Alligator mississippiensis: one gene and its partner. The protein of the gene in region 2 purifies or fractionates together with the protein of the main gene of each other region. This does not show direct contact. Links are inferred from orthologs where the notes say so. Each region holds a gene or a part of one and is shown on either strand. Other genes may lie near its edges.

Region 1 (15,750 bases), on a different chromosome or scaffold from region 2:
ATGTTTCTACTTGGCTAAGCTTCAACCCTGTCTGTTTTGGGAGATTCAGTACTTGGGTACTTCTCCATCTTTTGTGTGTGTTGCAAAATAGGAGCTGAAGCTTCCACAAAAAGCAACTCATTCCTAGTAGGGACACAATGTTTACTCAAATCCATGACACACAACAGGCAGTTACTGCAAATCTGACTCTGGCCAAACTCGGAATCAAATCTGTCACAGCCCTCTCTGCCACTTACTGTCAAGCATGGCTCTGGTTCTGGCTTTATTCTTTTCTGAGGTATGCAGCACATGGAAGCTCAGCCCCCGCCCAGCCAGGTAGCAGCTCCAAGGCTGGAGCTTCTGTGCATTCTGGGCAGCAATGGAGCCAGAGCCATGCCTGACCATAAAAGGGAGGAGGAGGCAGAACAGACAGTACAGGACACAAATTTAAGGTGACCCTCTGATAATTTGATTCTGCATGGAAAGTTACAGCAAGGTTGTCAACTTTCTATATATAGAATTGAATTACTGGGGAGGGGATCATCTTAAATTTGTAGTAGTCTCTTTACATTTCTGTATCTGTAAATATTCCACCAATCTGTCTTCACAGAGACTTACACAGGTTTAACTAAACCAGTACCATATTGCAATGGAAACATTTCAGTTTAAGAGTAGCTTGTTTCAACTGAGCTCAAACCATGTTTACCTTCAGTTACTTAGGAACAAAAAAAACCAAACACACACACTTTTGTGGTTGTGCCAGAAGGGTACAAGAAGGACATTTACTCATGTAGTTATCAGAATTTGATTTCAATCTTTAAAGTTATACCAATGCACTCTTCCCACACAGCCAAGGCCTAAAGAGTAATTTACGGTGAAGTACTGTCCCTAGAAACCTTATATCCATGTTCAAGGAAACATACCTGCATCCCTGGGCCTCCACATGCTGTAGCCGGTTGCTTTTCAATAGTTTGTTTTTTAGAAAGCAGGTTTCTGCCCTGAGCTTCTTGCTTCTAAACCAAAGAATGGCTGTTCTGAGTGCTTCTGTGAGTTCCCTGAAAGAGTGGGCTTCCCGAAGGGTCAGCACCAGAGATCTGGCACGCTGAGACCTTGTTGCACAAGAGGAAAGTGGAGCTGGCCTCACTTTGGCTTCAGGAACTGTTAGCATGAAACTTCTATCCTGAAAGAAATAAAAGGGGAAGAAGTCAGTCCCTAAAAAACATCAAAATGTTGAGCTTCCCACAGGAGGGAAGCAGAGATGCTTAGTGTTAGAGAAAACCCTTTTACTGCGTGGAGAAGCAGTGGTCTAGCCAGGAAGAGTACAGCACTACAAAACTTGAGATTAAGGCTCTATTTCCAGCTCTACCTAACTTGCTTTGTGATTCAGGGAAGTTCTTCCACTTCCTTGCATTTGCTTTCTCCAGCTTTAAAACAGAGACTCCCCAGCACAAGCTCTACACAATGCCTCTAAGGCTGGGCACCGAGAGTGCCTTCTCTCTGCTTTTACTTATGCAATGTTTCAAGTGTGTTGCATCTTGTAATTACATGCAAGGGTTTGAAGTGGAGGTTTGGAGGAGTCATTAGATAAATCATCATTGTAAATGCAGGGGACTGGATCAAAGACAGAGGCATAGAACAGTGCTCTGTTCCTACCTGCAAAGCACCTGGCCAATTAATTAAAGCCAAGCTGATGGTTTTCATGGCAAAAGAACATGGGGAGGGATAATGTCTAAAGGAGTAGGGGCCTACATTTTTGGTAGATGTGTCACAAATTAGCCCTCTATCCTCTCCCGAATGTCACTCCTATCCCCTTCTGCCTGCTGTTCTATTCACCGCTTTGCTTTCTGCTTTTTACCCTGTTTACTACTGTGCTGCCTGTCCCCTCCCCAATCTGCTATGTACTATACATAGAGGCTACTTGTGCCACTTATGGCACCCTGGTCTAAAATGCATGAAAAGTATTTTGGGCTGGAAGCCTTCTCCAAAAGGTAAAAGTTTATTTTAAATTATGCCATACAGACCTCTGGGACTTGGGCTTTCAGTTGTCTGCAGAAGGTCTTGACATCAAATCCCAGCTGTTTCCCTGAATTGGGGAGAGAAAAGAAAAACCATCACTTAAAATGGGAAAAAAAAATATTTGGGCAAGTTCTTTCCAGAACTGCACTGCAGAACTTCACCCCAGCTGGGGTGTTCAGTGTGCTGCGCTGCCATGCAGGACCACTGGGTCACAAGCTAACAGACCCTGGTTTGCATCCATGCTCAGCAATTGCCAGCAGGCAATCAATCCAAAAAGCAGAAAGGCAGGTGAGAAAGACTTATACACATCTGCCAGGTAGATGCACAGGACAAAATTGAAAAAAAACCCCAAAAACTAGATGGGTAAAAACCCCATAAAATGCTTTGATGCTTGGGACCCACTGCAAGGATGAAGGAGTGTCTTGTGGTTACAGGACAGAACTAGGAGTCAGAAACTGGGTTCTGGTGCTCAGCTCTTGGCTAGTACACGCTCCATTTCACTTCACTTTCCCTCTCTCTAAAATAGAGAGGATTTAATGAGAAAGAACAATTATATAGGGCCATGGGAAGCTTCCTTCATTTGTACTTCTGAAGTACAAATTACTCACATCCCCTCAAAGCTAATACAGACCACCAGAAAGCAGGAACATAGCTGCACAAGTTAATGCTTTACATAATAGCAAAGCTATCCCAGGTCCTAGCATGCATTTGGACCAGACAACCTCAAGATCACACACAAATATCCTTGGACTAGGCCTTACAAGTGACTGCTGCGTTCCACAGGATGCAAGTTAAGGAGGGCCAAAGAGCCAGTACCAAATTTCTAACATGAGCCCTCTTTCCCCCTTCCCCTGCAAAATACCAAAACTCTACCTTGGTTGGTTTTCTTCACCAGAACAGGCTTCCCAATGTCAATGGGGCGCTGGGCACCCATTTTCACTTTAACCCTTGGAATGGCCAAGGCTTCTTTTACACGGGGCCTGGCTGCTGTCTCAGGTTCTGCAGAGAACACTTTGTTCAGCCATCTGCTTGCTTTTTTTGTTGTAAGTATTTGAGACTTCCTTTTCTTGATCTCTACAGAAAGATTAACTCCCAAAAACTCAGCAATCTCAGAGGGGAAGGTAAACCCTTTAACATAGGGCATCTGTTGGGTCTCGGACACCTTCTGCAGCAACCCAGACAACGCCCCATATAAAGACGTAAGCCTCTGTAACACGCATCTATAAAGAATCCTGAGGAGACAGACAGAAAACACAGGGGCATGAACTGCCTACAGACACTAGCTGGTCTAGCCCATATAAAAATGCCCCATTAAATGCAAAGCTGAGGGAGCAAAAGAGGCTGTGTACTACCCCAGCACATGAACATATCCAGGCTGAAAGTAAACAATCAGTGCTTATTATGTGCCCGGTACTGTCAGTGCCTTGGCATCGGTAACCCCAACACCAGCTAACTCTCATTTTCAAAGCTAATAGCCTTTTTGACACCCACTTCCTCTTAACACTATTTCTGGCACCCTTAAATGGAGAGCAGTTAGCTAGCAGACATGCATTACTATGCACCTAATACGAATTCAATTAAGTAGACAGGAGGGCTAAAGGTACTATGCTCATAAGTGATTTACGCAAATATAAACAACAGGCAACAAGTTGGGTCTGAAGCATTATGCAGCTAAACAAATAATGCACTTACCTAGGAGGCATAAGTGGAGTCCACAGTATTCACTAAACAAGCACTCTCACATTTGGTACCTGCTCCTTGTTCTCAAAGGTTTCCCCTCCCATGTTTTTCCCCCCAACACACATGCATTTCTGGGCTCTGGTTTTATGCTCTCAGGCCACCTGTCCTTTGCTGCACCCCACATTTGTACTTCCTGACTAGTAGCCTGACCTCCCTTTTCAATGCTAGTTCTTCACTTGATGGAGGTGTCTGAGAGCTTCAGAAGATGCAGGATATAGACTGGGACTGATTCAACCCTGTGAACACACCATCCACAGCCTGCATTACAGAGACTTCTTCCCCCATATAATGCACCTCATGGATCTTCACAAGCTTTAGGAATGAGCAAACTCCCAGGTGACATCAAGCCAAGGCTCTTTAATTAAAATTCTTCCCCACAAACCATTTCTCCTCCAATTCAGTACAAGTGGGCCTGTTCATCTGCCTTTTTAACATTATATACACTTTTCTGTTCAATGCCACCTGAAGAAAAGCTATCCTGTTCTGAACAGAGTGGTTAGCATACACATTGATGCCATATCACACGAGTAACTCTATATTTTAATTAACAATGCTAGCATTTTCAGCCTATGTTTGAATCTTTTTGTCATTTCTTCGTAAAATGATTCACTGGAAGAATCAGGGCTAGTAAGGAACAGCTCCATTCTACCAACTATATTCTCCACACAAGACAGTTAAAAATCACTTACTGGAAAAACCCAGCAGTTGAACATCATGGTGGTATTATAAGTGCCATAGAAATCTTTTCATCATCAAGTATGAACCCTTCCCCCATCTACACTAGCACCTATTCCTGAGAATCCCGTAAAAGCCTGTCCGATTTCAGGTAGGGTGAGCCATTCAAGTCAGGGGAGGGAAGAAGCCTTGATTCATTAGCTCAACACCTGCCATTTCTTGGTGACAACAGGCACCGAGGCCTGTGTCATACTATGTACTGATTAAAGTAACTAGGGCAAAGCAGGCAGATGATGAACAAAAAAAAAAAAAATTAAAAAAAGTAAAAATATATATCTTTTCAAATGTATACAAACCATAATCTGCTCAACAATCCTGAGACCACAGTATTCAAGAGTATGAATTCTTCCAAACATAGGTGTTTAATGGTCAAGCTGAAAATAAAGCTTGTTAAGGTGAGAAAAAAAACCAATAAAAACAGTGTGCAGTGTAATTCACTGAGCAGAGACTTTCCTACAAGGCAGTTCAGAAACCCATCTATGCCTGGCAATTACTCAGGAAAGGACTGTTCAAACTCGGGGTTACTTAGAGCTATAACAGCAGTTCGCCAGCAGCCCAAAGTCCGTACCTGCTGATCTGAAAACAATTGCCTGTAACCAAAGGCTTTTTAACTAAACAACATTTGTCCGTTTATCAAATGCTATCAGCAATGAGAAGCCTGCAGCAGATCATATTTGGCTTTCTGGTAAGAATTTTCACTTCCAGGCTCCCAGGTTTGTTAAGAAGGATACAGGAATGCTTTGCAACAACAGTCCAGTAGACGCAGCAACAACTTACAGCCTCCCAAGACCTTCACTGCTACTACTTCCATCACAGGCTGGCTGGGAACTAGATGCTCTCCAGGATTTTCAGATTTATTTTTCCTGTAGTGAGGGGGTGGTGGTTACACTTAGCATGAAGTTCTTCATGGCTAAAAGTAGCATTCAGTCTAACAGGAGGTAATGACACTTACTTGGAACACAGTTCTGCCAGGTCTTGAACGTATCCCACTAAGTTCATCCTATTCAAACGCTTCAAGCTTTGTTCTACCTAAAAAACCAACAAGTCTTTTGGTCAATACTTTTTTGTTTCTCAATCAATAGGTCTTTATTAGTCAGTATTGTCCATTGTTGATGTGTAGGCCTGCCACACCTGGTGCCAAACCCATTGGCGCACACAAATATCTACACAAGGGCAAGGAGGATCTCTAGATGACATTATTGTGAACGTGGACTTTATAGGACTCAGGCAAAGACTATCAACTGATCCTACACATTCCAGGCAGCATCTTGCAATTGTGGCTACTTAAATTAAGTTTGCAAAACAAGCTTCAGGAGAAACCAATCATAAGAATCAGAACAGAAAATCTAGATTCCAACCTCTGTTTTGTTAGTGCAACAGGCAGCGTATTTCATACCCATACCACAAAATGTTATTAAACATTCCATGTTCTGTTACATTTGAAAGTTGCTTTGAGACCACCTTTGAAAAACATTCAAGTTAGTAGAAACAGTGTTTAAGGCAACCTTTGAATTATTCCCCCTTCTCTCAACAGAAATACAAGTTCTGTCCTATCTAATGTTTTATATTGAACTTCTTGAAAGTTGCGAATAAAATGAACTACAGTAAAAGTTATGTTATCTGACATCTTACAAGCTGGCATGCTCCACTAACTGGTATGTCGGCTTGTAAGATAAAGTGAAACCAGAAGTGCTCACCGTGGCACTTCTGGTTTCTCTGAGCCCCCATTGCTCAGGGCAAAGCAGCCTGTGCTGCCAAGCCCCCACAGCCCGTGGGCATAACAGGCTGTGCAGGACTCGCCACCCTGTCCCGCGGGGCCCGCCATGGGAGGGGCGGAGGGGACACCCCAGACACGGCGCGAGAAGCGGTGGCCGGGGCTGCTCAATTAACCGGCATATTTTGTTATCCAGCATCCTCCGTTCCCAAGGGATGCTGGATAACAGAACTTTTACTGTATTTATTTAGGTTTTTAACTTAAGCAGAAAGTGTCTTGTATTGTTCCCATTGAAATGGAGTGGTAAAATCTCTCACCAGCAGCCAAATTCTCTATCTAGGATCAATAAAACCTAATTGAATGAGATTCATTTAGAATAAAATGGATGTGAACAATGTTATGAAACTTTACCAAAACCCAGATCTCAATTTTTTTCTTCAGAACATGGTTGTAAGAAAAAATTATTAGAAAGCTCATTCCATCAACTATTACTGCAAAATAATATGAATCGGTATGATTTTCCCTGCTGACCTGTTTCAGAGCCAGGTAGGTTTTATGGTGAGACATTTTGCTGTGGCAGACATAAAGGATCGCATGCAGGACTCTTCCTTCAGCATCCACAGCTTTGTTGTTCAGCCATGTGAGAGTGGCAGAGCACTCTTTACTAACTGCTGGAAGGCATCTCACTGCAGGGGTGGAGGGAGTAAGGGTGAGAGGGAGAGAAAAGAGGAGTGGGGGGGAGGAGACACATTACTGTTTTGCAGTTCCACATGAAATAAATGGTTTAAGACAGCACAATCATGTAACAGTCCACACCCCAAAATCAAATGACCAAAGAAACGCATCCCCTAAAGTAAAGCCTGCAACCCCAATCTGCCATCTCCCCTCACATGAAACAGCTTAAAATCCAGAAGGAATTTTTAAAAGCCATTTTCCGCTTCCTGCCTTTTGCTGCCTACACACCCCTTAGCTGGGAGACGGGAACCAGCGTGATGCAGCGGGACAGAGCAAGGAAGTAAGAGAGGAAGGGCAGCGGGTCTGGGCTCTGGATGCTCCAAAGGAGCAGCAATACAACAATAACCACAAAGGGGTGGGTGGGTTTGGGGAAAGAGGGGGCAACCGCTTATGGCTTTTCAATAAAAATTTGCAGTCTTTTTTTGGGGGGGGGGAGGGGGAAAATCTACATACTTACTCCTCCCACCCCACTAGCAGGAAATAAACATTAAAGATGTACATCATACACATCCTAATGTGCCTGTAGGGTTACCAACGTTCGAACAATTTATCCTGGGAGGTTTCCAGACCGCCAACATGCCCGTGCCACACGGCACGAACGTGCCCACGTGCTCACGTATCTGGTACATTTGACGGTGTGCAGACTTTATGTTAGGAAGGCAAATGCACATTACTGCTACATTATAGGAACCAGTGGCCTACTGTCTAAATTGGATTCAATGTTTCATATTTATTTTGATGAAGGCGATATATTTTATCTCCCTGGTGACTCCAAGCAGTCCCCTCCAGATTTAGATTGAATTCCTGGACTCCGGGGCACCCCTGGACGGTTAGCCACCCTATGTGTACCCTACAACACCCCCTACTGACTACCATGCACGCACACACGCGACACCACAGCCCCAGCACACGCTTTTCCAGTCCCAGGACGCAGAGGCGCGCGCGACGTCACGACCCCAGGACGCAGAGGCGCGCCTGTGACGTCACGAGTCCGGTGGCTAAGCCAGCTGAAACCGCGTGCCCCGAGCGCCCGCCTCTCGCCCGCGCCTACCCCACACAGCCCCCTTCGCTACCTGAGGGGTGCTGTTCCGGCAGAGCCACCGTAGCGCTAGTGGCAGGCCACGGCACATTTACCCGATTCCACACTGCCTCCCCCAGCTCCGGCCCCGCCATATTTGCTAAGGGCGGGGAAAGGGGCGGGGCGACGAGGCCAGAAGCATGAGTGGGCGGAACCAAAACAGAGCTGGGGGGGCGGGGGAGGAACCCTGCGGGCTGTACCAAGAATCTCGGGAACGGGGTGCGTGTGCAGGGCTTGCTATAGCCGGGCAGTGGGAGGTGCGAAGCCCCCGCGAGCCCAGTGTGGGCAAGGGCAGGGTCTGCGGTTGCCCCTCGGCCTGGGCCCCACCAAGGAAGGGTGCAGGGGCCCCAGACACATGAGCAGCTACTTCAAGGCAGCCCTAGCCTGGGGTAGATCAGCTGCTACATCCTGTGGCATTGCATGAGGTCCGCCAGGCTGTGCTGACCTGCCCTGCAGCCTTCGCTGTAAGGCAGCCGCCAGGAGCTCTGCTGTTCAGGGTGCCCCCTGCCCCAAGCACGCACCCCGCCAGCCAGGGAACCCGCCTCAGCCTTGCAGGTGGCATCAAATGAACCAGGCTCCCTCCTGGCCACCAAAGCAGGGCAGGTACTGGCCACCTCTAGTGGGAGGCCTGACAGTTCTTTGTACCTGGAGGTAGATGGGGCCAAGAGGTGGCAGCTCATGTTGCAGCCAGGGTGACTGGGGGCTTTTATTTCATCTGGAGAAACACAAGAAAAGCCAAAGCGAGTTCCTCTGAACGGTACCCCCGTTTCTGAGGTGATTAGCAATCAGGCAACGTTTCCAAAGCAGCCGTGTGCAGCAGAGAATACGCAGGCCGACTCACTGCTGCATGGCGAGGACACAGGCCCCTCAATCCGCTTGATGCAACTTACTGACTCCCAGCCCTGTGCCTGTGCGTGTGGACGAGTTTTATACAGTTTAGGTTTGGATTTCTGTTTTCGTGCCCATGTCTCTGAGAAATCAATCTCTTGGCCAGTTGAGTAGGCGGCAAGGAAACTGAGCCATGACTGGTGACCATTGTTCTTTCCAAGGGTCACTTTATTAGCATTGGGTGTGATCACTGGCCTGTGCACCTCAGTCCCCTTGAAGCTGTCCCTCACAATCCGCTTCTCTCATGCATATCATTGCAGATTTAGACTGAACTGCTTCTGGGATCAGAGTATCTGTGAGGAGGCAGGTAGTGGCTGACCCAACACAGCAAAAAGTGGTGAGGAGTATTCAGAACTCCCCAACGATTGTACAGAAGGCATCTGCTCCCAAGATGTTTTTCTCACACCTGAAGAGGGGTCTTGTGTGCCCAAAAACTTGTCTAGGATTTCTCCCAGCTATAGAATTGGTCCACTACAAGAGCACTACCAAACACATCTTGCTTCTTCTATGTTCCCTGGACCCTACAACAGCACTACAGGTCTGCTTCGCAGCACAGGCTGCTGTAAGCACATCACACTTGCACTCCACTCACTTTTCAGAGTCTTTCAGCAACATTTTTCCTGGTATCTTCCTCCCACTGGGTACCTGTATCAGAAATTGAATTATATCCTACATTGCCTCTTCTACTTTGGTAGTAGCTTGTATGCTCCCAGTTTAATCTGACTCACATTCTGTGTATAAACTTGATGAAGTCAGTGATGTTAATATCAGGCATGAGTTTTAACTTGGGCTTCTAATCTTCCTAGAACCCTTTTCCCACCCCTCTGCCTTTATTCATAAGTACAGATCAGATGGTGAAATTGAGGGTGTCCCTTTAAGGAGGTATTTGCCCTGAATGGTCACAGCTGAAGGAAAGAAAAGGGAGACTGCATAAAAGGTTGTTGGGAGAAGATGCTGCTTCCTGTAGAGTTGGTGAAAAACATCTCAAGTGGTAAACAAACAAGCAAGTGCATAGAAAATAAGTGATACATGTGAAATGGAGGACAGGAGATGTGATTGGAGTGTTACTAAGGTCTCTCTGGAAGAGCTCCTGAGATGTTATAAACAGCCTATAAGTGAGGAGCAAGCTTGGGCCATTTGCTTTCAGTGCTGCTGTAAAATGAAGCAGTTGGCTCAAGGGCTTCATCCATGGTCTCCTACTGTAGTTATAAAAGGCCCTGGAAGCATCCTCATCCATTCCAATGGCAATGTTTCCTTCTTGCTGTGCTCTAAATCTGGTAAGGGCAAGGATGATAATTGATGGGGCTCTTGTTTCTATTCTGCACTTAAAAAAAATAATCAGCTAGTAACATTTTATCCATCATAACCAAAAATATGTTGCTGCTTGGTTTTGGTTTTTGTTTGGGGTTTTTTGGGGGGTGGGGGAGGTTGGGGGTTTTTTTGTTTGTTTGTTTTGTCTTTGAACTGTTTTCCATAGTAAAACCCTTGATTTTTCTCTGCAAATAGCAGGCTGACTCTTGGAATTTCTTGGGTTGTCTCCAAACCCAGTGAATCTGCAACTAATGTGAAGGGCTCTATTTTCCCTACCCACTAGGGTGCCCATAGGGAAATGGGAAAGAAGGGGTATTAATTGGGGGGAATCTTGGCAGCAGTGTTTCTCAAAGGTTAGAGCGTTGGCTTTGGAGTCAGTTTCTCAGTTCTTTTGCTGCATCTGCTGTTTTTCCCTTGTCTGTAATAATGAGAATTTTTTTTTTTTTAGTGTGGTGGTGAATTATAATAATATTATTGCTCTCTGCAAAGTATTTCTGAAGTCTTTGGATAAAAAAATACTGTGGGATAGGGCCTAGTTCAAATTGTGATTTCACACTTTTTTGTGAAAATCACAAAATTAAGTGATTTCTTTTTTTCACGAAAAAATGTGACTTGCAATAAAAATGCCACAATATGCCTGTTTGCTGGGGAGTTCCCCAACAAGCAGCTATATTATGGCATTTTGTTGCAATGATGGCAAGAATTCCCCAGCCAGCAGCAAAAGCTTAGCAGCCTAGGGGAGGAGGGAAGGTGTCACAAAACAGGTTAAGTACACTGGAGCACGCCTCTCTGGCACATAGCCAGCATGGGATGGGTGTTCGCTTCCTCTTCCTGCTGCTCTTGAGGTCTCTGGGATTTGCAGTCCAGAATCACAGCAACAGGACTCTGCATGGTTGCTTGTTACTTTTTCTTCTTGCTTCTAGGTGCCTTTGGGACTTGTAGTCCACAGTCACAGCCAGCAGTAGGTTTTAGTAAGTTTAGCAGCAGGGCAACTGTTACAGGTTTAAACCAGTTTCTGGTTGCTTAAGCTGGTTTATGTGTAACTTCTGTCTCTAAAAGGGACAGGAAGGAGAGAACTTGGGGATGGCATTTGCTCTTCCAGGTGGCTTTTTTTTTTTTTTGTCCCGTGCCAGGGCCATATACTAAGGCAGCCCTTTGGCACCCCCAACCCCTTGCACCCCAGTTTTCCTGCCCGGAGGAACAAACAGACTCCCTTACCTGGTGCCAGGGCTGTCTTAATTACTGCCTCTTCCAGGGAAGTTGGGGTGGGGAGGAGGGAAGAGGGGCGTGGGCTTTTCAGCAGTGATCAGAGGATTTTGGAACTAGGCATCTCCTGCTGCAATTAAACCTGCCCCCTCTGCCAATCAAGAGGCATGGTGTGGGGGAGAAGTGGCTCAATCTGAGCATGAGTATGGTGGCCCCTGTCACGATTGGGCCATGATATTAGCGAGCTGGGCCCACAACTTAAACCAGGCCCTACCATAGAAGAAATCAACTTTTCTAATAGTAACACATTGAATCACTTTGTTAGAGGGGTGTTACCTAAACAAATGGCTTGTATAAGGGGTTTATGAAGAATGTCTCACTTCATCCTCAGATGAACATTCCCTTCCTCCTTGTCCTCCCACTCTGTCACTTGTGAGTCCTAATCTGAAGCTATGCAGGGGGATGAGGGGACACCATGGATGGCATAATTGTTCTGCGTTTTGCAGTCTCTTTACTTTCTAATGCTAGACTTCAGAAGTAATAATATATGCATAGGATTAGAATGGGTCTTTTAAGTCACTTAGTCCAGCCTCCTGTGCACACTGATGCATGGATGATGCCATTGCCACTGAAGGGAAAGGGACTAATGCTTGACAAAAATAACTAGTCACTTTCTGCATGTGTTTATTCTGCAATGTTTGGAGCAAGTTGATTTTCCTCATGCCTTTTCTGTGAAATCTCTATATGGGTTGTGGCTCCCCCACGCTAGGATGAAAGGTGGCCAAAAGACAAGTGTCCATTTTCCAAAGAGCAAGTCTTGATTGTGCGGGCCGGGCCCCGATCCCGCCGCCAAGTGCGAGTTGGGGGGGGCGATCCATGGCCCGTCTTTGCGCACGCGGGCTGTGGCCAGCAGCCCGGGCACGCGGGGTCGGAGAAAACCGGTGGCGAGCTAGAATTAGTCACGAACGCATAGTGGTTGATTTAAAAGATTATTTACTTACACCCAAGATGGTCGCAGTGTAGGCTGGACAGCTTTCCAGGTGCAGCTCCGCTTGAGTCCTCGTTGGAGGACTCTGACGAACTCGGTTCTTTGGCCCCGGAGTGGTTTAGGCTCCGTGGGTTCGGCAGTTCTTTCCTCACGAAGTTGCTGAAGCTCCGTGGGTTCGGTTCGGTTCCCAGGTCCCCCAGAGCTGTTAAGAGTGGGTTCGAAAATTGGGTATATAGGAAGGGATACGTCTAGGAATCTATCGGCGACAGGGAGAGGCTAGAGGCTGATCAGACCTCTGTTGCCTTCTTAAGAAATGCATTGGGTCCGTAAGGATCCGCAGCGCTTAGAGATCTTCACACAGGGTGAAGTCTCCTCCTCCTGATGTTCGTAGAGTCCTCCAACTTGGGCGGAAACCATTGAAGCTTTTTATATGGCTAGCAAGCCAATCACTTGCTGCCACGTGTACATAATTTAGAACTAGCCAATAATGGGGCTCAAAGTATAATACGAATGGCAGGGTTCTCCTCTGCAGCAGAAAACTCCAGCGCGCAAAGAAGCTGCAATTTTAGCGGGAATGTAATTTAGCGTTGCCGAAGCGCACACAAACAACAAATCACAGCTTTGGGTTGTGACATTGATATAGTCTGACTGAACTATACTTAGGCCTGTTGTATCTGTAGTCTGCATGGGAGCAGTGGGTGTTGAGAGAGAAAGAAAGGAAGCTCCTTTCTCTTATTTCTACTTGAGAAGCATCCAGAGGCAGAGAACATCAAAGGGAAACCATACCTTGCACTGTTTTCTAATGATCCTGGATTCTCATCCAATTCCCTTCCCTGCCCTTCCCCCCCCCCCCCCCCCCCCAAGAAAATGGAGGTTAAAACTGTCTGAGGACTTCTCCCAATGGCAAGAAACCAAACTTGCATGATATACTGGAAAGGGAAATTTGGGTCAGTGTCAAGGGCCCATGCAAGCCTAACAGTCCACTGGGCTGCTGTGGTTAAGGCACACCAGTTACTGTAGTCAGTGTCATATAAGGGCATGAAATGGCCAGCATGATATCTGGCCACTTCTGGCTTCTCAGCCTGAATGACCAGGTGCCCATTTACAGCTGAATCAACTGGGGCAGTCTGTGGCAGAAGACCAGAGCAGGGCTTGAACTTTCACCTCCAGCACTATAGCAAGACATGTTAATGGTTCTGCCACTCCACCAAGTAGGGTTAGTGAAGGCTTTATCTTATAACAAAAAAGAGCAAGCCGTTCACAATCCCTACAGACTTATGTTCTTTCACTTGTTTCCCTTTCAGATGTTCAAAAGACACAACAATCAGAGGACAAGGTAAGTCTCTCTTTGGAGTCAAGATGGTGTCAAGGACCTATGACTTCAACCTAGGAATGGCACAGTCATAATCCTTTCTGAGTAGATGTTCTAGGTACAAAAATCTAAGCTGCCTTGTCCTACAACAATGGGTCATGTTCAAAAGATTCAATTGTCATTTAATATTCTTGGTGCTTGAAGAGTGCCAGGGGCCTGAAGGAAGATGACTTTCGTCTCCATTCTTTGACCAGGGAAAGGCCCAAGGCCAAGTTCAGAAATGAAACTACTTGAGTGGTCCTGATGTACATGCTGCAAGGGAAAAGGGTGAGGTGCAGCTGGCAATACTGCCACCTATAGGGTTTATAAAGTGGGTGCATTTCTGCTGCCACAGCACACTTCCACAACTTCAGCACGCTGTAATCATAAGTGATTCTGGTCTAGTCTCTTATACCTTGTCACCCAGCTTGAGCAACAATGACAGGATTACCTTGTGACCACCTTATCCTTCTGTGAAGAAGACACATGACCTCCAAAGTGGGTAGAGTTGTTATTTGGGTTAGAAATCTGAAGGTATCATCTGGGAACTGTCTTTACAATACTGAACTACTACTACATTGATCTGAAAGGTCGCTTGCTTCCTTGGCTTCTGTTCATAGCTGCTGGAGTGTCTGGGAATGGTGATCTATAATGCCCTGGACTGGGGCATTGACAGCCATATGGAGCGAGAGCTGAGCAAACCCCTGGAAAACCTGATTTCCCTCATGCTGAAACTAGATGTTGAAGCAACAACACCAGCAATCGGTCTTCAGGATGTCATTAAGGTTTTTTGGGTTTGTTTATTTGTTTGTTTGTTTTTTAATAGTCCAGTTGTTGAAAATGCTAATGTACTGGCATTCACAGCTGTTGGAGAGCATTCTATGAAAATTTGGGTAGTGCCTTGGAGGATAGGCACCTAGTACTCTCCTTATAACAATAGGTGAGAATGGTGCACTCCAGAAGATCTTATTGTACAGGGATGGGGAGGAAAGAAAAGTGGTTGCACTTTGACACAACTGTGGTTACGGGGTTCAGTGTGTATGGCCCAAAATGTTTCCTATTGCTTGCAGGAAAACCAGCCTTTTCCCCCTTGCAAGTGCCACACACAATTAGCTGGTTCAGTTCCCAATTGCAATGGGGGAACCACCCTGCTAATTCAGTCACAACTAGTTGCTGACACTGTTAATATCTGGAGTGAAGCTGGGGCTTGCTAACTTGCTTTTTTTTTTTTTGGTTCATGCTCTCCACCCTCCTACTTCCTGGGGGTCAGCCCACTTGAGGTGTCCATATGCACCACGTTTTTTCCCCCAGGGTATGTTGGTGTAAAGAAGCATAAATGTCCTACCTCAAGATCACTGTAGATGAGATGACCCTAGCAACATGCCAGATCTTGTCTACCTAAAACTATTACTGCTTGATAGGTGGATAGAAGTGCAGCCACACAGAGAGCTCTGCAAAGAACAGTTTGCCAGAACATGGGCACTCCTAAGCAATGCTGCCTATATCCTAAAGGATTAAGGATTCCTTGAGTCCAAAGCAGCATTCAGGCCAAAGGAAGCGTTTTTACTGACTTTAGATTAACACATGAACTAACTCTTGCTTTAGCTAACCTTAGTCATGTCAATCCTTTCTCCAGGCTTCTGGCCTCTAGAGAGCAGGCAATCGTAAAGTAGCATTGCAAACTTGTTTCTGGGCATTTGAATACAAAAATGCCTATCTCCATGAGGGAAACTGCTATCAGCAGAACTTAGCATGTCGGCACTGTGAGAAGTATTACTAAAGCCAACGTGCCTGAAATGGGTTTTGAAGTTAAAGCACTGTCCAAATTGCTCTCATGCTAGACTTTTTCTAAGTATTCAACCCCACTTCCAAGGTTTACAAAAGGGGAAAACCTAAGGTGTGACTCATCCAAGGCATATTCAAGTTGTTTGAAGAACTGGATGAGAGCAACTCCCACTTTGTCAGCTTAGACTGTCTCAAGAAAGTTCACTCTCTCCAGTCAGTCTCTC
Region 2 (14,491 bases):
GCACGTGTGACAGGGGATGCGCGGATGTGGATGTGTCTGTATCTGCATGGGGGGGGTGTCGTGGGGGGGTGCAGGGGGTGCGGGCGCGTGTGCATGCATGTGTACATGTGTAGGGTGTGTGTGTGTGCCCATGTGTGCATACATGGGCAAGGGGGGGAGTATGGGGATGTATGTGCACGGAGGGGGGTGTACATGGGCACCTGCGCATGCACGCACAGGAGGCATGTGTGTGTGTGTGTGTGTGTGTGTGTGTGTCCACACACTCTGGCAGCGTCTGAACTCAGCCCCTCTCCAGTGTGCAGCGATGGCCTGGAGCGCGGGCGAGCGAGGGCTGCCCTTGCGTGTGCATGTAGCACGCCGCGCACGCCCCCAGTGACTCCCAGCCCCGGGGCTCCTGCGCGCAGCCGGCTCGGCCCCGGCCCCGGCCCTGGGGGGCACAGACAGTCCCGGCGCAGGGGCCGCAGCAGACGGGCGCAGGGGGGGTACAAGGAAGAAATCCCGGGCGTTGCCACAAACACCCCAAGCCGCTGGCCACGGCATACAGGTGCCCCCGTGACCCCCTGGGCAGGACCAAGGGGGTATCAGGGGGCAAAGGGAAAGTCCTGACACGGGGGCCTGGGCTTGGGGGGGGTTGAGGGAACAACATGTCCCCCCAGATCTTCCCCCAGGCCAGAGGTCACTGCCGGGGCTAGAGGCCAGGCCCCTGGACCAGCAAAGCCCGAGCCAGCCTGGAGCCAGGGGCAGGCGGCTGCACCAGCTGAGACACCAGCCCCTGGAGGACACTCCTAGCTCTGCCACTGACCTGCCAGGTGGCCTTGGTCTGGTCACCTCGCCACCCCGTGCCTCAGTTTCCCCACCCGCAACACATCACCCCCCAAAAGGGGCTCGGAGGCAAAAAGAGCTGCAGGTCGGAGCTGGGAGGAGGGAGCGAGCGGGCGGCGCTGGGCTCATGTGGATTGGGGTGGAAGGTGCGAGGTGGGCCCTGCCAGTGCGAGACATTAAGAGGATTAAGGAGAGTTTCAGGGGTAGACACCAGTGCAAACACCGCGGGGCCCGGCCCTCCCCCCAGCACACGCTAATCCACACCCGCTGCCCCCACGCGCCCACCCCGCTGCAAACAGCCCCGGACGGCAAATCAAGCCAGGACCAACCCCCCCCCAGCCCTCCCCAAGCCCTGTGCGCGGTGGGGGGCTGGAGGAAGCCGGGGGCTGCGGGACTTGGCTCTACCGCGGAGAAGACCCAAGTGCAGGAGGGTGCGGGGAGGGGGAGCTGGAGCCCCCCAGGCCACGGAGGGGAGGCCCCAAGCCCCCCACCTGTCTGCTGCCATCGGAGGTGGGCAAAACCCTGTTGTGGGCCAGGGGTCTCCAATGCGGAGATGGCCGCAGGAGCGGCACAGGTGGGCCTGAGCCCTGCAAGGGTGGCAGGGAGCTCAGGTCACGTCGGGTCCAACCCCCTGCTCCAAGCAGGACCAGCCCCAGCTACATCATCCCAGCCATGGCTCTGTCTACCTGGGTCTTCGACACCTCCAAGGATGGAGATGCCACCACCGCTCTGGGGAGCCTGCTCCAGTGCTTCACCTTCCTCCTAGGGAAAGAGTCCTTCCTAATACCCAACCTCAACTTCTCTTGCTGCAGCCTGAGCCCATTGCTCCTTGTTCTCTGCCACCACCGGGGCAGGTGCGATTCCTCCCCAGGGTGGGAGCAGAAGAAACTGCCCTGGTCCCATGTCCCCGGTTCTCTGGCCTGGCTGGCAGCAGTCACGGAAATCCTAGCCAAGTGGAGCTGGAAGGGACCTGCGGCGGCAGGATCAACCCCATCCAAACTCCCCCTGACAAACCCCACATCCGACCTTGGAGCCCCACGACAGTCACCCCAAAACAGCTCCCGCCCCTGCCCCCGGGATACAGGGGGCCGTGGACAGCAATGGCCGGCTGCTGCCGGGGGGTCCTGGACGTGCAGAGAGCCCAGGCCCAGGCCATGCCCCCGCTGCAGAGGAAGGACCTCCCCCTCACCCCCCGCTGCTTGTCTCGTGCGTGCATGCGTGTGCATGTGTGTGCGCCCTTTTGCCCCTGCATCTCCATCGCTGAGCTGCTCACACCTGTAGCTACTCTGGGGATGGGGGACCCTGGCTGGGCAGCAGCCCCCAGCCCCGACCCTTTATCTTACCCAAGTCCATCCTCCCCACCCTCGCTCCTCTCCTGCAATCCGCACCCAGCTCCTGCAGCCAGGCCAGAGGCACACGCACACACTAGACCCACGCCGGCTTGCTGCCATAAGCACGTCCTCTGACACGCGCAGCACAGCTGCACCTGGCAGCCTCCCACAACCCTCCCCTTTGCACACCCCCACCCCCATCTGCCCCTCCACGTGCCATCCCAGCATCATCCACCCACAACCCCCCACCTCGCATACAGCACCCTGCAAAACATGCCGGAGACGAGTGCACGTTATAAATGAGAAAATACGGTAAGAGCAGATTCTGCCCCTGCCCAGGTGCCAGGCTCCGATCTGCAGCCAGACACAAGGGGCAAACCTGGAGCAGCCCCAGCCCCGCGACTTACTGCGAGGGCCGAGCTTTGCTCCCTCCGGTCCTCCTGCCACGACCAAGGGGCGAGTCGTATGCAGGGACAAACAGGATCCACCCGGGGCCAAGGCGAGGGGCCCAGGCTCAGCAGCACCCAGGCCGCTCATCCGTGACAGATCACCTAGCTGGGACCACCACCCAGCTGCTCGCCACCACGGGGCAGAGGAGCAGGAGGCAGTTTCTAGCAGCCGGCTTGGAAGGAATCACCGAGTCCCAGCGCCGCGGGGGGGGCAGGGAGCCGCGGGGTCACATCCAGCCCAGCTCGGCCTGAGGCAGGATCAGCCCCGTCCAAACCAGCCCAGACGAACCCCGTGTCCGACCTCGGAGGCACACGACGCAGTTGCCCCGACAGCCCCAGGCATCGCCCCCTGCCCCCCACAATGACTCATGGAGCAGAAAGGGGGGGCACAACTAGCACAGCCCAGGGACCTGGGACACCCCACAGCACAGCACAGGCGTGCAGCATCCCCCCCCCAGCGTGTCACACCTCTTGCCGGAGCACCTCTGCATCGCCCTTGCAGCCTGGGCTTCACCGTGAGCCTCCAGGGCTCGGCCCTGACCCTGCAGCCAAGCCCCCGCCAGCACGGCCCAGGCACATCCCCGCCACGAGTGGTTATACTAGCACCTACGCACACAAGGACAGGGCATGTATGCACCTGTGTGCCACCAAATCCTGCTGTGAATGCATGCACGCGCAGCCTGTGTACGCCCTGCTGGGGTGGCCGTGCCTGTGAGACGCCCAGGGGCATGAGTGATGGAGCCACGAGGGGGTCCCTTGCCAGGAGGGCACTGGAGACAGGTGGGCCTGAGAGGAGAGCCCTGGCAGCACCCACTCCCCTCCGCCCCTTCCCCACAGCTGTGGCAGCTGGATAAAAGCTGGGTCGGGCACTGCAGCCCCCACAACAGGCTGGGACCTGCGCTTCATGCCCCCCAAAGGGTTCAACCCCCAGGGGGGACAAGGGGCCAAGGTCAGGTGCCCCACAGAGCCTGCCTCGTGGCTGCACAGGGAGGGGGACAAGGACACATGCACACCCCAACACATCCACGCAGCCCTGTGTGCACACATGACCCTGCACTCGCACACACCCCTGGGCATATGTGCACCTGTGCACAGGCACATACACCCCTGCCCCCCCACCTTGCACACCCTTGCATCTGTGAACTCTGCCTCCCCCCACAACCATGTTCACATGTGCACACACACACACACACCCTGCACCCACATGCAATATATGCATGCACCTCACACACCACCCCTGCACCCGTGTGCCCCCCTGCAGCAGGGCCACAGCAGGTCCAAGCCACGAGTGCTGCATGCCGGGTCTCCCCTTCCTGATGCCGCCCATCCCCAGTGCCCCCCCCCAGGTGACGGGGGCAGAGGGCTGCGCGTCCCGGAGCTGGCCCAGCTCTTGCTCCACACCTGGCAGGGAGACACAGCTCTGCCCTGGCAGCTGGCTCTGGCATCCAGGCCTGCGCTCGCTGCTGCAGCTTGACCCCGGGGCGGAGGGGACGCGGGATGCCGGAGCCACGGGGCAGGTACCACGCGGAGCATCCCCGGGCACGGCGTGGCCGGGCTGCCACCTGGCGGCCCACGGGGGAACTGCAGCACTGGAGCCAGGCCAGGCAGCCGTGGCCCTGGAGGGACAGATTCCCCCAGGCCAGCCCCACACCAGGCCTGGGCCTGCTTGGCTCCTGCCCTGTGCCTCAGTTTCCCTGCACGTGCAAGGGGAACAGCAGCCCCCTGGGCTGGATGCAATGGTGCCACACTGGCCCCTGGCTCTTGGTCATCTCCAGGCCCCAGCAGGGAACCCCGCGGGGGGCGAATGCTCAGCAGCCAACCCCGCTGGTCCCCACTGCCCTGGACTCTGGGCTGGGGCCTGCCCCAGAGCCTTGGCTGGGCTGGGGGAGACCCAGGGGTCAGAGGTCAAGCCCCCGCAACACCTCTACCTCTCAGGGCCCAGCTCCAGTGCGGAGCTTGAGATTTCCCAGTCCCCCAAAAGCCCCCATGGACGGCCCCGGGGCAGGGAGGAGCGGGCGCAGACAAGACACAGCCAGGAGCTTGGGAAGGCAGTGATGACTCTTTACCTGGATACACCCCAAGAGCCCCCCAGAGCTTCCCCACGGGCCGGGGGGGGCAAGGCCGCACTGAGCACAGAGCCTGGCCCCAGGCAGGACTGCAGGGAGCCCGGAGGAGGGGGACGCTCCCACACCCACCCCTGGCGTCAGGCACCAGGGTCCCGGCGTTGGTCCCGGGAGCGCAGCCCCCCTGGCCTGTGCCAGGGCAGGGATCTCGGCCCATCCCCGGGGGCTCTTCCCTGCAGCCAGGCCCCAGCCCCGGGGTGGGGAAGCCGAAGCCGGAACCGGAACCGGAGCAGCACCTGGGGGAGAGAGAGGCAGAGGTGAGACTGGGGTGGGAGTCCCCGCAGCGCAGCCCCCCGCCGATCTCCAAAGCAGCCCTCACCTCTACAGCCTCCGGCACTGTTTCTTCGCTGGCATGATGGGCGCGATCTCCTCCTCCTCGCTGGACTCGTCCTCATCGGACAGACTGGTGCTGGGCACTGGGGTGCACGGACGGGCCGTCAGCACCAGCAGCCGGTGCTGGGAGGGATAGCCAGACAAGCTGCCCCCACCCCCCTGCAGCCGGCAGCCCCCGCTCAGGGGCACCCGCCCCCCCCTTACCGACACGGTGCTGCCCGGCCAGGTGCACGGGGCCGGAGCCGGCGGCCAGGCGGAAGGTGACGGGAGGGTGCAGCGTGAAGCCGTCCAAACTCAGCTGCAAAGAGGCCGTGGGAGGAGGGGAGTCAGAGCAGGGCTGGGGTCTGGCTCGGCCGCGCCACGGCGCTTGCACGCTGTCCCCCCGCCCGCCCGGGCGCCTTACCGAGGGCTGGCACGACAGCTTCAGGTTGGCCACGGGCACGGCGATCTCCCGGTCGTCGCAGTCGCGTCCGACCACTTCCACCACGTTGCACTCGTCCACGGCTCCGGCCCCCAGGGAGACCTGGGAGGGAGCAGAGGGGCAGCATTGGGGGCAGCTGCCACGGGGCAGGACACGGCTGGAGACACCGCCTGGGCGACCGCAACCCGCGGGCACCGCCGGGACCCCCGGGGCGGCTCCGAGCAGGGGAGCTGCGGGCGGAGGTTTGTCTCCGCTGCCCCGACGGATGCTGCCGCGTGTGGGATCAGCACACACGCACACGTGTGTGACATCCGCATACGGGCACCCGCGTGTGCGATCGCGTGTTGCCGCCCGGCGAGGGGGCACGGGCTGGGTGGGAGGAGGGGCTGCGGGCTGCCACAACCCCGGCCCTCTTACCGTGGACAGGGTCAGGAGATGCTCGCAGTCCTCGTCCTCCTCGTCCGCCACGAAGGTGAAGGACCGGGCGCTGCCGGTCAGGGCGCAGCCTGGGGAGCACGGGGGTCAGCGAGCAAAGCCACAGACCCCGGGCCCGGGGGGGGGGGGGGAGGGAGGCAGACCCAGAGACCCCCCCTTGCACGGGCGCTGCTGGGCCCCCCGCGGGATCCCCGGGACCCCTCCCCACGCACCGAAGAGGCCGCCCTCGGGGTCGGGCGGGCCGGGCGGGCGCCACTCGCGGCTCTGCCGCTCCAGGAAGGCGGCCATGTGCAGCGCCGAGCACCGTGGGAGGGACGGAGGGAGGCAGGAAGGAAGGAAGGAAGGGGCTGAAGCTCCGCCTGGCCGGCCCGGCTCCGGCTCCGGCTCCTCCCCGCCCGCAGCGGCCGTGCCGGGAGCGCGGAGCGGGCCGTCCCCCGCGGGACCCCGGTGCGTGCGAAGCCCGGCCCGCCCGCCCGGGCGGGGAGGATCCCAGGAGCTTCCCGCCGGATCCCCGAGACCAGGCTCTCCTTCCCACCTCGGGCCAGGGCGGCAGCGCAGGCAGCAGGGGGGTGGGTGGAGGGCAGGGGCAGGACGAGCCGGGGAGAGGGAGGGAGGGACGGGGTGCATCTGGCTCCTGTCTCCCTTCAAACCGCCCCGGCGCCTGCAGCGGGGCAAGGCAGGGTCTGGGGGTCCGGGCTCGGCCGCCTCGCTCACCTGTCCAGCAGGACGCGTTTCTACACAGGATGAGACCAAACCGGGGGGATGCCCCACCGGCGTGGGGGAGACGAACGTGCCGGGGTCTGCTCCGAGACCCCGCAAAGGGACACGCTCCCACCGACTGGACCTCCGCGCACTCCGGTTCAGATGGGATGGTGGGGTCCCCTCTGTACGCCCCAGTCCCCTTCCCGGCATGGAGCAGAGATCCGGGTAACTCAGCACGGAGGGAGAGAGCAAGGAGCTACTCACGCTTGCAAGAGGAGTGCCTGGTTGTGTCGCGGCAGTGCCGGGTGCTGCCGGCCTTCGGGATGATCAGGAGAGCGGACAAGAATGCGACGCTCCGCTCAAGGAAAACCTGCCACCAAGCAGCATTCATGTAGCCCCAGACTCGATCGAGACCACCATTAGGAACTGATCACCCTTCACCGAAATGCAGCCATGTCTGGGGAGGCTGCGGCAGCTGATTACTGCGGCCAGACCTGTGGGCACAGGAGACGCTTCGATCCACGTGAAATCCAACCAGGCCGGCAGGAGCGATTAGTCCAGCCCCGTCTGACAGCAGCCAGGATCAGATGGGGCAGGCACAGGGGATCTCATCCCACATGGCCTAAGCCCCGCAGCCAGGGTTCAACCCCCTCACGAACCAGGCCGGGGCGCACACGTTGCCCCAGAAGCAGCCGGGGGCTGGTAAAACCTCACAGCGGGCTCTGTGAGCACCCTCTCGCCCTCCGCCTCCACCGCACGTCCCTCCCACCACGAGCGGCACCAGGCTTTGACCAAGGCCCCAAATTCTTTGTCTCTTGGCTTGCAATCAGCTACCGCCATGAACAACGACCCAGCGCCACTCGGACACCTGGAGCATGAGGGGGTCTTCCCCAGGAAGGGAACTAGTCCTAGCTGCCCCCAGTGAGTCCAGGTGCCTGGGAGGTATTTACTGTGGCACCCCCGAATTCACAGTTTCATAGTTGGTCGGGTCGGAAGAGACCTGAGCAGATCATCCAGTCCGACCCCCTGCCATGGCAGGAAAGAGTGCTGGGGTCAAACGACCCCGGCTAGGTGTCTATCTAGTCTCCTCTTAAAGCCCCCCAGGGTTGGAGCCGGCACCACTTCTCTTGGAAGTTGGTTCCAGTTCCTAGCCGCCCTGACAGTGAAGTCGCGCCTCCTGATGTCTAGTCTGAATCTACCCTCTGCCAGCTTGTGACCAGTATTTCTAGTCACTCCTGGGAGTGCTTGGGGGAACGGGGACTCCCCCAGTGCCTGCTGGTCCCCCTGACTGGTTTGTAACAGGCCACCAGATCCCCTCAGCCTTCTCTGGGGGAGGCTGAACAGGTTCAGGTCCCGTTGCCTCTCCCTGTAGGGCCTGCCCTGCTGCCCCTGACCATGCGGGTGGCCTCCTCTGGACCCTCTCCATGCTGTCCACATCCCTCCTGAAGTGCGACACCCAGAGCTGGATGCAGTACTCCAGCTGGGGCCTGACCAGTGCCGCTTAGAGGGGGAGGATTACCTCCTTGGACCTGCTCGAGATGCATCTGTGGATGCACGACAAGGTGCGGTTGGCCTTCCTGACCACGTCCCCACACTGTCGGCCCGTGTTCATTCTGGCATCAATGATGACCCCAAGATCCTTTTCTGCCTCTGCACTGACGAGAAGGGAGTTCCCCAGCCTGTAGGTCTGCTGCTGGCTCTTCCTCCCCAGGTGCAGCACTTTGCACTGGTCAGTGTTGAACCCATCCTGTTCTCATCCGCCCACCCCTGTAACCTGTCCAGGTCCGATTGCAGCCTGTCCCTCCCTTCTAGCGTGCCCACCTCCCCCCACATCTTAGTGTCGTCTGCGAATTTGAACAAGGTGCTTTTCACCCCCTCGTCCAAGTCGCTGATGGAGATGTTGAACAGTGCAGGCCCGAGGACCGAGCCCTGGGGGACCCCGCTGCCCACAGCCTTTCAGGTCAAATAAGACCCGTCCACCACCACCCTCTGGGTGCGGCCCTCCAGCCAGTTAGTGACCCATCTGACTGCGTAGGTGTCGACGCCACAGTCCCCGAGTGTTTTTTAATGAGAATGGGGTGAGAGACCGTGTCGAAGGCCTTCCTGAAGTCCAGAAAGACTATGTCCACCGCAACACCTGCATCCAGGGATTGTGTGACCTGGTCATAGAAGGCCACCGGGTTGGTCTGACAGGACCTGCCTTGAATGAACCGTGTTCGTTGCCCCTGAGCATGATCTCCCTGCTGGTCCCTCACAGATGTGCTCCCAAATAATTTTCTCAAAGAGCTTCCCCAGGACCAAGGTAAGACTAACAGGCCTGTAGTTTCCTGGGTCCTCCTTCCTCCCTTTTTTGAAAATGGGGACCACACTGGCCCTTTTCCAGTCCTCCGGCACCTCACCAGAGCACCACCAGTGTTCGTAGAGCCGTGCTGGGGTCCCACAGTGACCTCTGCAATTCCCTCGGCACCCTGGGGTGGAGATCGGCAGGACCTGCTGATTTGAACACGTCCAGCCCCTCCAGGAGTTCCCCGACTAGGTCCTCACTGACCCTGGGCCTGGCTGTGCCTCCCCTGGGTCCATCAGGGGTCCCAGTGTGGGGGATGTCCCTGCCCCTGCTCAGAAAAATGGAGCCAAAGAAATTGTTAAATAGGTTAGCTTTGCTGTCTGGTGAGACCACCAGATTTCCTAGCATGCCCTGCAGAGGCCCCACATTACCCAGTACCTTCTTTTTACCCTCTATATATTTAAAAAAGGAGTTCTTGTTGTCCTTGATCCGTGTTGCTAGTCCCAGTCCCATCTCTGCCTTGGCCTTCCTGACCGCCCCGAGCCCCGAGCCCCCGAGATGTAGTCCTCCCTGGCAATGGCCCCTCTCTTCCATCGGGTGTACGCCTCCTTCTTAGCTTTGAGATGTTCCCGGATGCTTTTGGTGAGCCATGGGGGCTTTTGAGCACTCTTGCCCGCTTTGATCTGTGTTGGGATTACCTTCCTTTGGGCTTGGAGGATCGTCTCCTTCAGGAACGATCACTCGTGTCAGACTTCCCTCCCCTCCAGGACCTCAGTGCCTCCCCGACTAGCCTCTTTAGCTGAATGAAATCCGCCCTCCTGAAGTCCAGGGCTGCTGCCTTGCTGCCGGCCTTTGCCACCCTGCGCTGGATGAATTCAAGGACTTCACGAGTGATTTGGAGGGTTGATGAGGCAGGTGCTCGAGGGAACAACCTGCTCCAAGGAGCTAATAGGGGCACAAATCTTTGGGACCAAACGCAGGATAAACAGGGTCCTCACTGCCAGTGCTGCCTGCGGTTCCCAGGAGCCGCCTGGAGTTTGAGCAGGGGACCGTATGGGGTGGCTCTCATGAGAAAGGCACCCCAGGTTTAACTGAGGGGACAAAGCTGACCGGATAAATCGATGCACGAGGCCTCAAGTGGCTTCTTCCTGACAGTGAAAGGCCCAGTTTAAGCCACTGCAGCCATGATGCACGCTTAGTCCTTTGCACTGGTTCAGCTCTGTTAAAACCAGCCTGAACTGCACTGTCTCCCTGGTAAGACAGGCCCTGGGGGGGACCGGACAGGGCCAAGGTGCAGGCTGACCAACGCTAAACAGGGCTCAGGAGGGATTTGTGCTTGAATTGCCCTCAGAAAGACCTTGTCCATCCTAGGATCAAGGGCAACGAGGGTGAAGGGACCTCAGGAGTCATCTATCCAACCCCTGCTCCAAGCAGGACCAGCTCCACCTGCATCATCCAGCCACAGGCTTCAAAATCTCCAAGGATGCAGGTTCCCCCACCTCTCTGGGGAGCCTGTTCCAGTCTTTACTGGCCTCCTAGTGAGAAAGTTTTTCCTAGTATCCAACCTCAACTTCCCTTGCTGCAGCTGGAGCCCATTGCTCCTTGTCTTGTATCTGCCCCCACTGAGACCAGCCCAGCTCCATCCTCTTCGCAGCCGCCCTGCAGGGAGGTGAAGGCTGCTATTCAATCCCCCTCCGTCTTCTCTTCTGCAGACTAAAGCAGCCCAGGTCCCTCAGCCTCTCAGTCATCTTCCTCCAAAGCAGCAGCCACGCTTCAAAACAGGATCCGCTGCTTCCCAGTCAGCTCGGTGTGGGGCCTTGGGGAGGGTCACCGGGGCTGCTCTACGGGGCTCAAGCACTTCCCCCTTCCAACGGGTCACTGGGGCTTGTGGCCTTACAAAGAGGCCGGGGGCAACCACGACTGGAGAGAAATGGGGCCATGCCTCAATGCTGGCAATTCTGACAGGGCTCTCGAGCCCGTCTGCGCTGCCTGGCACCACTGCCAATGGAAGGGCACAGTGTAAGGAAGTCAGCCTCATTGATGACCATCGCTAGCATCTTGGAGGGCAAGGACTGCGCTGCTATTGCCTGCATTGCCTTGCATACAACACCTTCCCCTCAAAAACTGCTGCAACTAGAACGCCCTTCACACGTGAAGAAATACAGTAAGGGAAGGAGAGGCAAGGCCTGCAGGAGAGCCCAACAAGGAGCAGGCTCAGCTCCCTCTCTGCAGCTACTCAGGAAAGACCCAAAACAAGTTGTGCATCTTATTTCAGGGCATGCTGTCTGCAAGGAAATACGGTAGGCTGAGCTAAGCCAGGCAAGTCGGTACAGGAAAGGGTCCTTTCTGCACGCCAGATGAAGCTCAGGGCCAGTGCTGCTTGGATAAATTAAATGAGCAGGTGGTGGGGAAAACCTAGCTGTGATGTGTGCTGTGGTCTGAGTCCAGACGAAGCCTTCCAAGCCACTGGAGGAGTTCCTGACCCCGGCCACTGCGAACGAGATCAGCTCAATAACAGACCTGCTTCCTCCTGCACGGATCCTGCCGTCACTCTTCCTGGAACCACAGAACTACGCGGGAGAGACAGGTGCGAGTCTACGTGCTCAGAAGGCTCCCGCCTGGAGCAGACCTAGCTCAGTGCCTGGGATGATTTTGGGAACGTGTCCACAATCCCATTGGGTGGGACAGTGCAGCCCGGTCACAGAGCCTCCAGCTGGTGCCGATGATTTTCGGCTTGACTTTGGGCGAGTCATGTTGTAAGCTCCATTATTTCCTCGCTGAGAAGTCACCCCTCCCACCCCAGGTTTTACCCGACTTGCCTGTCCTGGTGCTGGAAAAGCAACTGATACCAAGGTACTTTGAACCCTTTAGGCTCAGTGATTAGAAGCGACTGGGTTTTAATCTACCAGATCCTAAGGGGCATTTGATGAATGTATTGGGGAGCAGGCTGAGTAACGCAAAGGAGGTTTTTTCAGTTTCCACATCAGCTTGCGGAGTCTCTGCCACAAGACGCTGCAGGGACTGGCAGTGCAACCGGGGTCAGAAGAGGATGAGACCGTCGTGCAGGGCATGTCCAACGTGTATTAACACAATGGAAGGGCTGCGACCTCTGAATTAAGCCTTCCCAGGCCTCAGCGCTGGAAGGGACAAGGGGCAGCAGAAAGAGGAGTCTAGACCGGCCCTGAAGATACTTTCTCTTCGCATCTGTTCTCTGCCACTGTGAAAGGCAGCACTGGGCGAGACAGCCAGCAGGGCCCAAGGAGCTGGGCTACTTGTTCACGCAGAGCACTGCTTGGCGAGCCTGCTTTCCATCCTCCACTTCCACCGCGCGTGAACAAGCATCCAAGCGCGTCTCTGCGCTGGGCTAGGGAGAAGGTGCTGCTGATCATATAACGCATGGTTTTCGCCAGCTGTTATACCCACAAGTGGGCAGGCTGCCCACTTTATCCGTGAGAGCCGTCTAGGCTTCAAAGTGAAGTACTGCGTGAAGATCCGTGCAGGTGAGGGGCTGAGCACGGCTGGCAATGTGGGCCTACATGTTCATCCTCACACAGGGCAGACCACCATTTCAGTGCCCTTTGAAAGCCAGGAGCGCCCCCCACCGGAAAAAAGCAGACGTACGGAGGGCCAGGGCCGCCGCATGATGGAGAGGACCGTGCCCGCACACGCCCGTGAGCAGCGCCACACACCGAACACACCGTGCATTTACATTCACTTCGGAATTTTTATTCTATTTCTCGCGTGGTCTTCAAATACAGTTTTACAGGTCATTTTCTCTGCTACAGATACTGGTCATCTAAAAACAGATTAATGAAAGTGGCATTCCAACCTCAATGAAAATTCTTAACCATGAAAGATATGTCAACGTATCACCTTACAATCCTAGGGTGATGGTATTGGCCGGACGTCCCGTAGGTTTATACAACTAACTTCTATAACATTATATTCATAGGAAGAGAGATTGTGGCAACTTCTTTAAAAGCCAAGATACAAGGCCACAAGCATCCTATGCTGTAATGCTATGAATCCAGATCGAGTACTAAACTGACTCTGGCAGACCCATTAAAAAAAAAAGAATGGCTCCACCTGACGAACCAAGGCATCGGCTACTCTACACACACTCAAAGCTGTACGAAACGAGGGACCTTCAGCTCTGACTGCCCCGAGACCCAATACCCCTGGTACTTCCCTCTCTAAAGAAATGAAATGAGCTTGTTTCAACTGAAATACTTCGCTATCACGTTAAAAAATAATAATTGAAGAAAAAAAAAATTGTTCACTGTTTGCAAATGAGCCTGTGCGTGACTGCACTGGAAGGCCAAACAGTAGCTGCTCCTTCCTGGAGTCTAATGCCATTCATCAGAGCTTGTAAAACCCCTTCAAAGCCTAGCTGGGAGCATAAATAAGGACCTGAATTCCTTTATTTCACGACCAAAATGAGAGGAAAGTTTTTTAAAAAAGGACGATGTTCAACACAGCCCAGAGTAGCAGATGAAAGCAGTAAGGTCCTGCAGGCGAGTATTGCTGGCTGAGTACTTCTGAGAGACGCAGGCTTGTACGAAATATCAAATCACTCCACAAATGGTGGAACTACCTCACTACCAGACCCTGTCACCATGCCGACTCCACCACATTAGTCAAATACAGCAGGTCTGGGTAAAAACACTGACTGCCTAGAACACCCACGGTTACGTTAAACCTTGGGAACCCTTGTAAGAACCGGTAAAAATGTGCTTATTGTGGCATTTCTTCTAAAAAAAAAAGAGTCTCATACAAACGTGCAGGATTTGGAGACCCTGATTTAGTCAAACACCGGTGTGAAGAGGCTTTGAAACAGAGGGAGACTTGGAGGACAAATCCTGCCCCTGGCCCAGCTCCCCCTGCCCCATCTACCGATTCTGTGCGACTGCCACTAGTATGTCCAGCTCAGCAAGCCACCCCGCAAACGACAGCCTCAGGCAGCGGCCGCTTTGCTAGCGGAAGCTGCCCTCTGAAGTCGCCATCTTTCTGGATCCCAAGCGGGTCCGTTTCTAGCTCCGGGCATGAGGCACAGTTGGAAAGGCCAGCGTTGAAGACAGATTCTCTCTCCGCTGTGGTTCTACGTCATTGACAAAGTGCCGTCTCGGACCAATACCATTTCACATCTCAAAAAGAAAACGAGTTACAAAACCAGTAAACAAAAAAGTTAATCAGCCTACAGCGAGTTTATATACACGGAAATGTACATGCCTGTCCTCAAGTGACTTTTGCCGCAGGCCACGTGTCCCTACAGAGCTTGAACCGATGGTCGTTAGAAGTAACAACGGTGGTTCTTTAACGAGAAGAGATAACCAATACCACAACTGTCGCTACTTGCCTTGAAATGTGCTGACTACACTGGTAAGAACCCCGCTTTCACCCTTCTTCCTTCACACCTCGCTCTAAGCTCCGAGCGGGAGAAGGAGGAACTGTAGCTCCAGATATAAACTGTCGCTGTCGATCGCATGCTTGGATACAGAGTACTGCCACCAACCAGCCACGTCGTGGGGCAAGCAGCCGCAGCCCACGCGAGGCTCCTTGGCACTTCGCACGACACCAGGAGAGGACACAGT

The links.
Region 1: the proteins of NPM3 (region 2) and NEPRO purify together in Homo sapiens (affinity purification with mass spectrometry; 4 studies listed by BioGRID and IntAct, with this or other methods). This does not show direct contact. The link is inferred for Alligator mississippiensis from reciprocal best matches to the Homo sapiens genes NPM3 and RMP64.

The regions. Positions count from the first base shown.
Region 1 is NC_081824.1:247,522,519-247,538,268, forward strand, and holds the start of NEPRO (nucleolus and neural progenitor protein), read right to left. Parts: upstream 8,112-15,750; 5' UTR 8,093-8,111; coding exon 7,993-8,092; intron 6,871-7,992; coding exon 6,716-6,870; intron 5,500-6,715; coding exon 5,423-5,499; intron 5,334-5,422; coding exon 5,202-5,333; intron 4,845-5,201; coding exon 4,767-4,844; intron 3,228-4,766; coding exon 2,869-3,227; intron 2,063-2,868; coding exon 2,001-2,062; intron 1,160-2,000; coding exon 903-1,159; intron 1-902. Other genes in the region: protein spire homolog 1, read left to right, coding at 9,922-10,162, 13,695-13,726, 14,362-14,526. UniProt on the Homo sapiens protein: May play a role in cortex development as part of the Notch signaling pathway. Downstream of Notch may repress the expression of proneural genes and inhibit neuronal differentiation thereby maintaining neural progenitors.
Region 2 is NC_081829.1:100,262,828-100,277,318, forward strand, and holds NPM3 (nucleoplasmin-3), read right to left. Parts: upstream 6,250-14,491; 5' UTR 6,203-6,249; coding exon 6,127-6,202; intron 5,986-6,126; coding exon 5,897-5,985; intron 5,582-5,896; coding exon 5,462-5,581; intron 5,357-5,461; coding exon 5,263-5,356; intron 5,142-5,262; coding exon 5,047-5,141; 3' UTR 5,045-5,046; intron 4,962-5,044; 3' UTR 4,643-4,961; downstream 1-4,642. UniProt on the Homo sapiens protein: Plays a role in the regulation of diverse cellular processes such as ribosome biogenesis, chromatin remodeling or protein chaperoning. Modulates the histone chaperone function and the RNA-binding activity of nucleolar phosphoprotein B23/NPM.